Caenorhabditis elegans: one gene and its partner. The protein of the gene in region 1 interacts with the protein of each later gene in a pairwise test. Each region holds a gene or a part of one and is shown on either strand. Other genes may lie near its edges.

The links.
Region 2: the proteins of pqn-87 (region 1) and hmgs-1 interact in a two-hybrid assay, tested with the Caenorhabditis elegans proteins (one large-scale study listed by BioGRID).

What each region holds. Positions count from the first base shown.
Region 1 is NC_003280.10:12,217,945-12,225,130, reverse strand, and holds the start of pqn-87 (MATH domain-containing protein), read left to right. Parts: upstream 1-3,497; coding exon 3,498-3,538; intron 3,539-4,488; coding exon 4,489-4,601; intron 4,602-4,741; coding exon 4,742-4,836; intron 4,837-5,087; coding exon 5,088-5,273; intron 5,274-5,465; coding exon 5,466-5,740; intron 5,741-6,282; coding exon 6,283-6,421; intron 6,422-7,186.
Region 2 is NC_003283.11:5,680,974-5,687,374, reverse strand, and holds hmgs-1 (Hydroxymethylglutaryl-CoA synthase), read left to right. Parts: upstream 1-2,785; 5' UTR 2,786-2,787; coding exon 2,788-2,892; intron 2,893-2,936; coding exon 2,937-3,065; intron 3,066-3,115; coding exon 3,116-3,268; intron 3,269-3,314; coding exon 3,315-3,540; intron 3,541-3,586; coding exon 3,587-3,821; intron 3,822-3,868; coding exon 3,869-4,057; intron 4,058-4,111; coding exon 4,112-4,323; intron 4,324-4,372; coding exon 4,373-4,512; 3' UTR 4,513-4,654; downstream 4,655-6,401. Other genes in the region: F25B4.7 (ADP/ATP translocase), read left to right, coding at 205-229, 292-407, 506-737, 787-893, 961-1,034, 1,083-1,329, 1,377-1,496; F25B4.4 (Elongator complex protein 6), read right to left, coding at 1,680-1,784, 1,835-2,095, 2,152-2,272, 2,318-2,487; prp-39 (Pre-mRNA-processing factor 39), read left to right, coding at 4,745-4,806, 5,090-5,167, 5,700-5,895, 5,948-6,180. UniProt on the Caenorhabditis elegans protein: This enzyme condenses acetyl-CoA with acetoacetyl-CoA to form HMG-CoA, which is the substrate for HMG-CoA reductase.

The DNA.
Region 1 (7,186 bases):
TCGCGTAGGTCTCACCACGAAAACCGATTTAGCAGTGCGGAGACGGCAGCGAGCAAAGAGCCTTTTTCCTCGATTTTCAGCGATTTTTCGCCAATTTTACTGTAATTTTTGTAAATTTTCTACACAAATATACAACAAAAATACCCGGAAACACGTGAGTAATCAGAAAAATCATTTTGACCCACTTGAAACCTCCAAAAATCGATTTTTAGCCAAGTGTCGCGCCCGTCAAATATTGATCGGCTTATGGACTCTTGTTTTTAATCATTCTTCTTTATTTTCAGCTTCACGATGTGCTTTTATTGCAGAATTATCATCTATTGTTTCGAAATCTCCGCGAAAAATCGATATTTCGTTGGTGGGAAACGTGTTTTCGCATCCACCCGCGCTTTTCCATTATTGTTTTGCTTCATTCTTGTTTCCTCTGATATTTGCTGGATTCCATCACTGTTTCGCTGTTTTTTCTAGTAGCAGGTCTGTAGAATATATCTGAACATCTGGTAAATTTCTTACGGTTTGTTCGTTTTTCTTGGAGAAATTTCTACCCAATGTGCTATTAGACACGAATTGGCTCCAAAACTACTCAATAAAGTTGCCGGAGTTGTTCCGAAACCGATCAATTTTCTTATAATGCACGAAATGTGAAGCTTTTCCATCATGTCACCTAAAATTTGTCGCAATTGCAGAGCCCGCCGTTTTTCTGCTAAAATAATTGTTCAAAGTTCAATTCTCCCCATCAATATTTTTAAATACTGATGCTTGAAGAAAACCATGATTTCTTTGAAATCGGTCTTCTGGACGTTTCTATGGAGATTTTTATCGAATTTCTTGCGAATCTATATTCTAAATGCCTATTTCTTCACAGTTTTTCCACTCCCAGAGCCAATTTCTTAGGATTTCACTGGAAAATCCTTATGCAACGTATTGTATGACGTATGTTCTCGGAATCTATATGGGTGTAAACGGTCAACAAAGACCAACGCACTGAAGGATTATAGGTTCTCGTTGAACTCGATTTTTTGGTTTTTTGAGTACTATTTCCAGTACCAAAACGAAATTCCTTGGTGTGTTTGTCGCTGAAGAAAAATGAGAAGAAGATACCGTAATCGTTTTCCGCCATCTCTATCCGTTCCTTCGTCCTTGCCACTACTTTTTTCCCCATCTTGTGGCCAGTCTCAGACAGTCAGCCGATCCATTCTTTCCACGACGACGACGACTCCTTTTATAACAACCATTCGAGAATCAATCCAATTCGCGAAATTGGGGTTTTTGATCCGCCCGCCGCTGTCACCTACACAGGTTTTTCGCCTTACTTCGTTCAAATGAGCGAGAACTTGAGGGGGGAAATGAGAAATTCTCATTTTTTGGAATTTTTGTGCAAAAGTGTCGCATTTTTTCAACAAAATATCCCAGTTTTTCCAATTCTCGGGGATTTTCTACGGTCACAATACGGCATATTTATATGAAAATTACGCCCGGAGGTTTTCCTATGTCACGGCCAGAAATAGTCGAATCATTGATTATATTTTTCTGAGAACGGCAGGAAATTCTGGAAAAGAGTACATGATTTGAATTTCCTCATTAGGAAAATGCAAGATTCCTTGGAAGATTCAATTTTAATACTACGGCAGTGTCCATTTTTCCGTTGTTCTCGCTTTAAATCATATTCAAGTGGTGGCAGGTTGTCCCATCACGGTTTGATCTACAAAAAATTGCGAACTCTGCGGCTTTTCTCCCGCATTTTTTGTAGATCTACGTAGATCAAACCGAAATGAGACACTCTGATACCAGGTGCATATTTCGGTTTTGTTGTTCCTAAATCCTTAAAATACAGGATGTAGGGAGGCACGGTCGCCTTTTTCCAATTTTTTTTGGGAATTTTGTTAGATGCCGAGAAATGGTGTCGGTTTTTCGATTTTTGGAAAATAAAAACTATATAAAAAAAATCATATTTTGGTTAATTTTCTGAGCATTTTTAGTTTTTTATCGAAAATTTTCGATTTTTTATAATTCGAAAAATCGAAATTATTCGTTTTTCGACTTCAAATCTTAAGATTTTCCCTCAAAAAAAAAAAATTTTTTTTTTGTTAAAAAATCTTAAGTTTTTTTTTCAAAAATGTCGAAAAATTAAGTTTCTCCACATGATCGTACGATTCACAGGACCCTCGATGATGCAACTACTACTACTACTTCTGCAGCTACTGCTGCTGGCGGCTACTTGATCGATTTCCGACGTGTCTTCTTCTTCTTCATCGTGTCTCTCCATCCCTCGCTTCTCCTCTTCCCCGCGTCAATGTGTGTCTATATGACCGTCGGTTGGTCGGTGTCGCCCGACTGCCCCCCGACCGCCGCCGCCAATAGCATCAGCAGCAAAGACTTGTGCGTCGTTTTCCCTCAGTCTCTCTACTCGCGTTCGGTTTATCCGACACGCTGTCTCGTGCTCTCTTGGATTGTCGTGATCTCTCTCTTCGCCGCTCGCTCTCTCTCTCTTCAACAATAGTTTTTGGGTCGTCGTATACCTCCTCCTTCTCCGGGTCTCTAGTAGTCCGCAGATTGTCTTCGTTTTCTCCCCCCATTCCGTTCCCCATCGATTTACGAATTGATTGATTTTTTTTCGACTCGTTGCGGTCGGCTCGGCTTCTCTTGTTTGCTCGTTACTTTTGGACTCGTGGCGAACTTTTTAACGGGAAAATCTTCTCATTTAGTGGTAGATAGTCAGTTTTTTTAAGTCAATTTGAGCTGCGATGGAGTAAATTATCTGCAAAAAGTCACAGAATCCCAAGAATTTTCACTAAAATTTCAGAAATGTCGGTAATTTTTTTTCATTTTCAGAAAAAAAAAGCATGATTTTCTTTAATTTTTAAAAAGTGAAATTGTGTAAATTCAAAGTTTTCGCACAAATTCGAATATTTTTCACTGTTCAGTCCACTAAAAATTTGAAAAAAAAATTTATTTTTTCTATGAATTCCACACTTTTCGTGGTTTTAAGCGATAAAATTGCGAAATCTGCACGAATTTCGCTTTTTCGCAGTGAAATTCAATTAAAATGTGGCAGTTTACAGCAGAACGCTAAAGGTTTGAGCTTTATGTGAAAATTGAACACCTGTCGGGTCTCGCCACGAAAATTAACCTGATATCTGAAAATACATAGTTTGTTGAATTTTGTACTCGTTAATTGCGATTTTCCGAGAAAATTGGTTTTTTTTAATCGTAAACAGTCGCTGCGGGACCCAAAAGGGTCTAAAAATCTCGGATTTTTCCCCATTGATTTTATTCAAAATTCTCAGCTTTTCTCCTCTCCAACCCCCAAAAAATCCTTCAAAAACCATCAAATTTTCCAGTAAAAAAACACCGTTGCGATCGATTTTCGACTCAAATCAACCGACGAGCAGCAGCAGCAGCACCGTATTCAATTGCAGTTCGTTAGTTGCTTGAAAGCGCGAACATCTAAACCCCCACGGAACCCCCCTATACAATCCAAAAAAACCACACAAAAAATGGAAGGACAAAGTGAAGTTATTCAGAAGAAAAAAGCCAGGTAAGAGAGAGAGAGAGAAGAGACGCAGAGAAACACGGACTGATGAATCATTATGAATAGAATCGGGCCGTCGTCGTTGTTGTGTGTGGGTGTGTGTGTGATATGATGAATTACCAGTCACACAACTATGTATAAGGATGTATAACCGAACCGGTTTCTGCGGAACATTGGTCTTTTGCACTGAGAAAGTGAAAAAAAAGTCCAGAAAACTAGAAAAAACCATTGAAAACCAATTTTTCCACAAAAATTACAGAAAATTTAACTATTTTTCACATTTTCCTCTCAGACTGCAAAATGCGTGGAAAAATCTATTATTTTTGATAATTTGTCGTTAAAAATCGATATTTTTCATCTTTTTGTAAAAATATCACTGAATAAAATATCACTGAATGAAAAATGAATTAAAACACAATTTTTCCACAAAACTACAGAAAATTGGATTATTTTTCACATTTCCCACCGTTTTGAGCAATTTTTTCAATATCGAAACTCCAAATTGCTTGGAAAAATTGTTTTTTCCACGCATTTTGAAGTCTGAATACTGAAAAATGCTTGAAAACAGTGGGAAATGTGAAAAAATTCCAATTTTCTGTAGTTTTTGTTGAAAAATTGATGTTTAATGTTTTATTCAGTGATTTTTTTTACAAAAAGATGAAAATAAAATCGATTTTTTAACGAAAAACAATCAAAAATTGATGTTTTCCTTCATTTTTGATTTTTTATTCTGAAAAAGTTGCATATTTCACAGGAAAATTAGTAAAAATTGATTTTTCATCTGAAATTCAAAAATTTCTAGCGTTGAAAAATCGATTTTTATTGGTGAAAAACGTTAAAATTACCGAAATAATGTTCAAAACCGCTAGAAAATCATAAATTTCGGTTATTTTATATGATTTTTTGGAGAAAATCGCATGTTTCTGCTACAAAAATCCTCAAACTCGATATTTTAGAACGAAGACAGGCTGTGATGTTGGATGTCAGACGGAGCAAGGAAGTCCCAGTGTGTTTCAACAAATGAGCCAGCTGATGTCCTCGTCCACGTCACATGTAGGCACAGGCGCAGGTAATATAATTGCTGAAAAATTGGTAAAATTCGAGAAAAACCCGAATTTTTGGACGATTTTTGCTTTAAAAATTTATGAAAATTGAAGAAAATGCGACATTTTTCGCGTTTTGAAGCATTAAAAAAAATCAAAATTTCAGTCGACACAACATCGTCATCTGCATCTGCTTCCGGAGCATCCACGCCAGCCAATCAAGCCGCTTCCTCGTCGCCAGCACCATCGGGAGCCCCAGCAGTGAGTTTTGAGCGAAATTTGTTCAATTTTCTGTGTAAACCACGCGAAAATTGCGTAAAAATCAGATAAAAACACATCAAAATTGTTGATTTTTGGGCAAAATTCACTGAAATCAACGATTAAAACTATGGAAAATTTGACAATTATCAATTTTTCGATTTTTTCATGTTTTTTAGGCATTTCCCGGCGGTTTTTTCGAGAAAAAGGAATTCTGAAGTTAAAATTTTGAAAAAAAACGAGAATTTTTCCAGGCCGATAAGAAGCTAACCGGACCGGCAGGCGTGAAGCCCAACGAAATTGAAGCCTATTTTGGTGAGAAGAAGCCGCCGAGTCTGAATAGTTCGACGAACACGACGCAACCACAGCAGGCAGGCCAGACGACACAGAAGGCTCGTGCCGCGTCGACGACTGGCGTCGTTGGTGAAGGAAAGAAACAGGTTTGCTAGTTTTTTGTTTTTTTTTTTTTGCTGAAAACCAGGAAAATTTCTTATAAAATAAAATTTTGAAACGGTTTTGCGATTAAATTTCAAAAATTTAAAAAAAAAAGACTTTAAAAAGACAAAAAATCCCAGAAAATTAGATGAAAATCCATTTTTATTGAAAAAAAATTCAATTTTCGCCCCTTCCAGAATTCGAACGCAAACGCCTCCTCATCAAACGCCGCGGCCGGTGCGACAAACGGAAAAGCCGTCGATGGACCATCATGGAACGACGAGAACTGCAAACTTCGGCTCGTAATCAATCGATTCTCGCAGTTGGAGGAGACAATGTGCTCGCCGCCAAAATCGATCGAAGGTGTCTCGTGGAAGATAATGGTGATGCCGAAACAGCATATGGTTCAGAAGAAACAACAAAAATGCATGGGATTCTTCCTGCAATGCGCACCCGAAAGAGCCTATTCTGAGTATGTTGGAGAGCCCGGGAAATTCGAGAAAAAAACGCGAAAAATTGTATTTTAACTGAATCTGTGTCGAAAAAAGTGGAAAAATACTGCAAAACTGGGCGAAAATCGCATTTTTGGCCTGAAAATTGTCATGTTTCGATTTAAAATGCTCAAATTAATAGAAAAATCGAAAGTCGAAGTTTCCAACTTCGAATTCCCAATTTTAAGCTGAGTTTACCATTTTCACGACTGAAATTTTGCCAAAAATTACAAAAATTCACATTTAATGCTTCAAATTACCATTTTTAATACAAAAATTTGCTGTTTTCGCCATTTTTCTTGGCAAAAAACACAAAAAAAATTTAATTTTCGGTGAAATTTCTTGAAAAATGACATTTTCCGCTTCCAAATTACCATTTTTAATACAGAAATTTGCTGTTTTTCGCCATTTTCAGGGTCGAAATAATGCCAAAAATCCACATTTTCTGTGAAATTTCCCACCCAATTAGCATTTTTTGCCATTTTTTCCCAACAAAAACCCCGAAAATTCACACTTTTTCCAGCCAATGGAGCGTCCACGCGATAGCCGACATGCGAATGATCTCGTACAAGCCAAACGTGCCCCACTTTGCCCGACGAACGACACATACGTATACATCGAAGGAAAACGACTGGGGTTACTCGTGTTTTATGACTTGGGCGGTGAGTTTTGAGGCGAAATTGATCCATTTAATGTGAAAATTTGACTAAAAATTGAATTTCATAAGTTTCAGGCGAAAAATATGAAATTTCAGATTTTTTTCAATTAAAAATACCACAAAACCGATGATATATTTTATAAAAATGGTTTTTTTTTTTTTGAAATTCCGCCGAATTTATCTCATTTTAAAGGTGGTGTAGTCGAATTTTTTATTGATTTGTTTGATTCAAAATTGTCTGAAAACACCGAATTTCATAATGAAACTTCTTGAAAACTTCTCAAAAAAAAAGTTATGACGGCTCACAAAATTGCCTAAAATTAGTTAAAATTTGAAATTTGACTTGTCAAGCGGCTGGAAACAATTTTTTTTTTGAAATCACCGTCAAATTTTGAGTATACAATGTAATTATCTTGCGTTTTCAACTCTGATTTAGGTATTTTAAAGTCGATGGACGGCGAGATTTGGTTTTAAAAAATTAAAAATCTCGCCGTCCATCGACTTTAAAATACCTAAATCAGAGTTGAAAACGCAAGCTAATTACATTGTATACTCAAAATTTGACGGTGATTTAAAAAAAAATTAGTTTCCAGCCGCTTGACAAGTCAAATGTCAAATTTTAACTAATTTTAGGCCATTTTTTGAGCCGTCATGACTTTTTTTTGAAAAGTTTTCAAGAAGTTTCATTATGAAATTCGGTGTTTTCAGACGATTTTGAGTCTAATAAAGCAATTTTTAAAAAATTCGACTACACCACCGTTAAAACATC
Region 2 (6,401 bases), on another chromosome or scaffold:
TTGTCAAAATTTCGTAAAATCTCTTCAAGCAGTCAGCTGTTTTGGTTTCCTTTGATTGTCACGTGTATTTATTCATGACTAGTTAATCGCCAAGTTCTCGTCTTTATTCCGTTCTTAATTACACAAGTTAAATATAATTTTCTTACAGAAAATATCGTAGACGTAGAGCAAACCTTCGTAGTGAAAATTATATAAAAACGAGAGATGTCGGTGTACACAGCAGTTCCAGGTTAGTTTTCATTTGATTAATTAATTTATTAACATTCAAGTTTTAAAAATATTTAAATTCAGGTGTATCGAGAGATGACGTCATAAAGTTTTCAAAAGATTTCATGGCTGGTGCAACAGCAGCTGCAATTTCAAAAACAGTGATTGCTCCAGTGGAACGGGTCAAACTAATCTTACAAGTAAGTTTTCAGTGAATTTGAGCATTTTTTGATGTGTAGAAAATACTTGAAATCATAAAATTAGCTTTTGCATCATTTTTTTAATTTGCATTTTTCAGCTCCAAAACTCGCAGACAACGCTAGCTCTAGAAAATAGATATAAAGGAATAGTGGATTGCTTTATCAGAGTGCCTCGAGAACAAGGATTCCTTTCATTTTGGCGAGGAAATTGGGTGAATATATTAAGATCGTGCAGTCAAGAATCTCTAGGATTATCTTTTAAAGAATTTTTCCGGAAATACAGTCTGGAAGGAGTTGATCCCAAAACACAACACTCCAGATGGTTAGTAGGTTGGTTTAATGAAAACGATGGCTAAGCATATTTAATTGTATTTTTCAGGAAATCTGGTAGCTGGAGGTGGATCAGGATGTGCTACTCTTGCCACCATCTATCCTCTTGATTTTATAAGAACGAGGTTGGCCATCGATTTGGGAAAGAGAAAATCGGTAAAAGATTCTTTTAAAAGTTTTTTTTTTTAATTAATTAAATTTTCTAACGATTCAATGTTTTCAGGATCGCGAATTCACGGGAATGTTCGATTGTGCTAAGAAAATAATTAAAAGTGACGGAGTTCCAGGCTTATACAAGTAACTGATTTTTTTTGTGTAACTGATTTCAAATTATTTATTTTTCAGAGGTCTGATTCCATCGCTTCAATACATGATTATCTATCGAGGAGCATATTATGGTCTGTTCGATACAACGGCTCCATATATGAATAGTGACGGAAAGATGACATTTACTGAAGCATTTCTTGTTGGACAAGTCGTCACTCTGATCGCTGCAATGACATCTTATCCACTGGATACTGTAAGAAGACGACTGATGATGGGTGCTGGAAAGAAGACGTTACCGTTCAATAACACAATATCCTGCATCAAAGTAAGATCATTTAATTGCTTCTCGGACAAAGATTTATTTATTTTCAGTACATTTACACGAAGGAAGGACCCAAGGCATTTTTCCATGGAGCCCTGGTGAACGCGATTCGTGGAACTGGTGCAGCATTGGTTCTGGCGATTTACAATGAACTTCAGAAGTACATGTGACAACCTTCCATAATATAGATAATCTTTAAAATTTCTAGTGCATTCTCTTATTTGTTCGAAAATCAGGCTCTTTTAGAAATACGTGTAAATTTGTATGTTGAAGCCTGTGCCCATTGTTTTCTGTTATGATAACGAAGAAAAGCTTTTTTTGAATCATTTTTTTTATTCAGTAACAAAACAAGATCACTGATCCACAGTTATATATGATCCATTGATTGTGCGTTCACCGGAAAGAAGAATTCCTTTCGTTGATGTTGGAGCAGATGGTGATTTGATAGTGAGCACCGCCTGAATTTCAACAATAACTAATGAACGACAATATTGCAGATTTCACGAACCTTTGCTGATGCATCTTTTCCAAAACCATGGCTTACTGGCGACATCTGGACAAATACGTGGCAGCGGGGTTTCAGAATATCCACAGCATTCGAATGGATAGAGAAAGAAGCGAGAAGAAGCGCATTTTCTTGTGATAACGTCTTTAAATGTGTGTAGATTTTGTGCACGAAAATGGTAGTTTCAACTGAAGTTGCTCCAAATTGCTCCAATATTGAAAGATCATCGAAGAGAATAACTGACGCAGAGGAATCAATTAATTTCTGAAAAATTTTGAGTTAAACAATTTTTATTCGAAAAAAGATATATGCTGAAATACCTTGTACAACTCGTCCATAATTTGTTCAGAGGTGATATCAAATAATTCGAATGGTTTCAAGAAATCGTAGAAACTAATTTGAGTGGGATTCCATCGAACTCCAGCCTTCGAACAAATCAGTCTATAACAATTAGTTTTACTTTCCATTTTATAAAGATTTACTCACTTGTAATTTGTTTCAGACAATTTGGTCGAAACAATAGCGACTTTTTGACTTGAAGTCGAAGCTGTAGAAAGGAAATGAAGAACAAATGGGAGTGACGACGCGTTATCCACTTCTTCACATACAATCAAGCCCTTAATTGACTCTTCTTGTCCTTTTAGAATTTTCAGCATTTTTTCTTTTTCTGAAAAATGTTTTTTTGTATGAAATCAAATGAAGAAAACGAAGTTTTGCAGAAAAATGAAAATGATACAATTTTAGTTTGTCCGAGAGGAGTACAAATGACTCGTAAATCGGTTTCCCCTCCCTTGGGTCTCGCAGGGAAGAGCCGTTGCCTCGACGACATTTACGGGCATTTTGATATTTCAAAACTGTTTTTTTGGCAAATTTGCATAATGAACACTTTTCGTCGATAAATCATCGTTTTTTGTGATTTTTTGCAATTCACATTTAAAAAAGAGTTTATTGCAGGCATGAGCTTGGGTCAATTGTCATATACACCAGTGACGGATGTTGGAATTGGAGCAATTGAGTTGTATTTTCCCCAGAACTTTGTCGATCAAAATGATTTAGAAAAGGTATTAATACCATTATTTCTTCAATATTGATTCCTAAATTGCAGTTTAACAATGTATCCAGCGGAAAATACACAATTGGACTGGGGCAACAGCAAATGGGATTCTGCTCGGACAACGAGGACATCGTATCCATCTCCCTTACAGTCACAAGGAAACTTATTGAAACTTACAAAGTAATATTCGCTATCAAAGTACTTAGTTTCCTCAGTTTCAGTGTGTTTAGATCTCGACTGATTCGATTGGCTGTTTGGTTGTAGGTACCGAAACAATGATCGACAAGAGCAAAAGTGTGAAGACAGCTTTAATGGACTTATTTCCTGGAAATTCGGATATTGAAGGAGTCGACATCAAAAATGCCTGCTTTGGAGGCGCACAAGTGAGTTTTTTGTCTCTCAAAATAGAATCTTCAATTATATTTTCAGGCACTGCTGCACGCTATCGATTGGGTCACAGTGAATCATCCGCTTGATAAGAAAAACGCAATTGTAGTAGTCGCGGATATTGCAATATATGAAGAAGGTCCAGCGAGATGTACAGGCGGTGCAGGAGCGATTGCTTTTCTTATTTGTCCAGATGCTTCTATTCCGATTGATCGGCAGTTTTCAGCGTGTCACATGAAAAACACGTGGGATTTCTTTAAGCCAATTAGTAAGCTATTAATTTCTCTATTTACTTTTAAAAAATTAAATTCCAGCGCCGATTCCGAGTGAATACCCCGTTGTCGATGGATCATTATCATTGAGCTCATATTTGGAAGCAGTCAGAATGACATACACATATTTCATATCAAAAGTTAATCGCCATACAACGGGTATCGACGGGCTGAACTCATTTGACGGAGTGTTTCTTCACTCACCGTTCACGAAAATGGTTCAAAAAGGCCTGGCTGTGATGAACTATACTGACTCGCAACTTCGTCACAAGCAATTGTAGGTTGATTAGTTTAGAAAAATTTTCAAATGTTTATTTTATTCAGAAATGGAAATGGTGTCGATCATAAACTCGATGAAAACGATCGCGCTGGACTTGCAAAAATGATCGAATTGTCTGCTCAAGTTTGGAAGGAAAAAACAGATCCATATCTTGTTTTCAACAGGCGAATCGGAAATATGTATACTCCATCACTCTTTGCTCAACTTTTAGCATACTTGGCAGCAGATGATTGGTATGATGAAGAATATACCGATTTTTAGAGCTAATTTTTAAAATTACTTTTCAGCGTCACCGGGGAGAAAAGCATTTTATTCTTCGCCTATGGAAGTGGTCTAGCGTCAGCAATTTTCCCAGGAAGAGTTAGGCAGACATCTAATCTTGATAAAATTCGTCAAGTCGCAATAAGGGCGATTAAAAGGCTCGATGACCGAATTCAGTTTACTCCAGAAGAGTTTACAGAAACATTACAAAAAAGAGAAGTTTTCCTACGATCAAAAGGTGAGTAATTCTAATAGTGATTGGTTTTTAATGTCATTTTGTTTTTCAGAGATTCCAAAATCTCCATCCGAAACTTCATTGTTTCCCAACACTTATTTCCTTGATAACATGGACAAGCTTTATCGCCGATCATATACTTTACACGAGGAACCAAACGGTGTTCAAAACGGGAACGGAATTCATCATTAAAAATGTATCTTTTGTTTTTTTTTTTTTAGTTTTTAATTTTATCACATCGTTTGCCATAGTCTACTTCTTTGTTACTGTTTTTTATTCGCTCATTAGAGTTGTATTTTCTTTTCTTTTTTTTAAATTAAAACGAGTTGTTTTTTTCTGATAATTGATTTTGTTGAACACGTGTACTATTGTCACGACAATATTTTCCATTTCTCGAACGGCTCAATTTAATTTCAAAGTTAAGATGGGAAGAGATCGGTCGTCAAGCTCGGACACAGACGACTACTACCGCTCCAGCAGCAGCAGGTATGCACCGGACTTTTGAACGAAACATGTTTCATTTGGAGGACCATGATGTGAAGCGGTTAAATATAAATTCCAGAACAGCTTGTGGGAAGCTTCGTGAGCCCCACGAAACCACTGCTCTGAGCATCTTCAAAAACTCACCGCAAGCTCGGTTCTGAAATTTCGCCGCTTAAAATTCATATCTCACCGTTCCTGAATTTTTTCACATGAAACATGCCTAGTAAAAAATCCTGATGGCACCATCGGCCCCTCAGAAGTAAACCATCCAAAATTAGAATTTCAGAAAAAGAGAAGATTCACACCGCCGTCGCGACGATCGGCATCGGGACTCGGATCGAGATCGAGATCGACGAAGGAGAAGGTACGATGTGTTCTTAGTTTTGGATTGCATGATGTACTCATGATGTCAACACTCACGGGTTCTTTTCCCTTTCTGGATTAGGACGTTTCCCACTCTAAAAAGGGTTAATTTCTGATGAAAAACAATGAAAAATCAGAAAAAAACAAAGAATTCTCGGCAACAAACATACACGTTGCATAAGCCCTCATTTTTACAGAAAAGGTTTGCGTTCATTTCCGCTCTTCGCCACTCTCCGAGTCTCAAATGAGAAAGTGATAATAATTGTGTTATTTTGTGTACATTTTATAAATAAAATAAACCGCCGCTTAGTACTTTTTATTTAAATCCGACTTTAGCGTTTAGCGTCAACTGATGGGAAGGAGCACACAAAAGCTGTGGATGAATACGGTTTTGAGCAACACGAAGAAGCTTAATAATAATAATCATGATAATATTTCTAATTTCGTACTATCAAAATTGTTTTCTATGTTTTTGCATGCACATTGAAGAAACTCGAAATAATTTACTCTACTTTAACTAACCAAACTTTCAGCCGTTCTCGTTCCAACTCGAATCGTCATAGAACAACAGGAGGATCTCAACGGAGTCGTAGTAGCCGACATGGATCAGATTACAAGGATACCTCGTTGATGACTCGACCTTCTGTGGCAAGCCATTTCGGTACTCCTCCAATTGATGTGGCTGATTTCGACAATTGGGTGAACATTCTTGCGAAAGTGGATCAGAGTGTACGGCATTCTTTTTGTGGCACGATTAACTTTATATTTTCACAATTTTCAGGATGATGTGGATTTTGCCCGCGAAAAGTATCGCTCTTTCCTTTCGAGATATCCAAATTGTTACGGATTCTGGCAGAAATACGCCGAATACGAGAAGAAGATGGGGAATATTGCCGAAGCTAAAGCTGTCTGGGAAAAAGGAATTATCAGTATTCCGCTTTCGATTGATCTCTGGCTCGGATATACTGCAGATGTGAAGAATATCAAGAACTTCCCGCCAGAATCCTTGCGAGAGTAGGTTTTCTCCTCATTCAGATATTACACAGGCGTCTCAATTCTCACGCGCATGGGTCTCGCCACGCTGAAAATGAGTTACTGTAATTTTCAAGTCATGTCGGTTTTCGACCCGCTATAGCATTAATTTTTCAAATTAAGTGAAGAATTGCTACCTGATGCAGTAGCGGACCGTAAATCCGCATGAGTTACAGTAACCCCTTGTCAGCGGGGCACGTCTA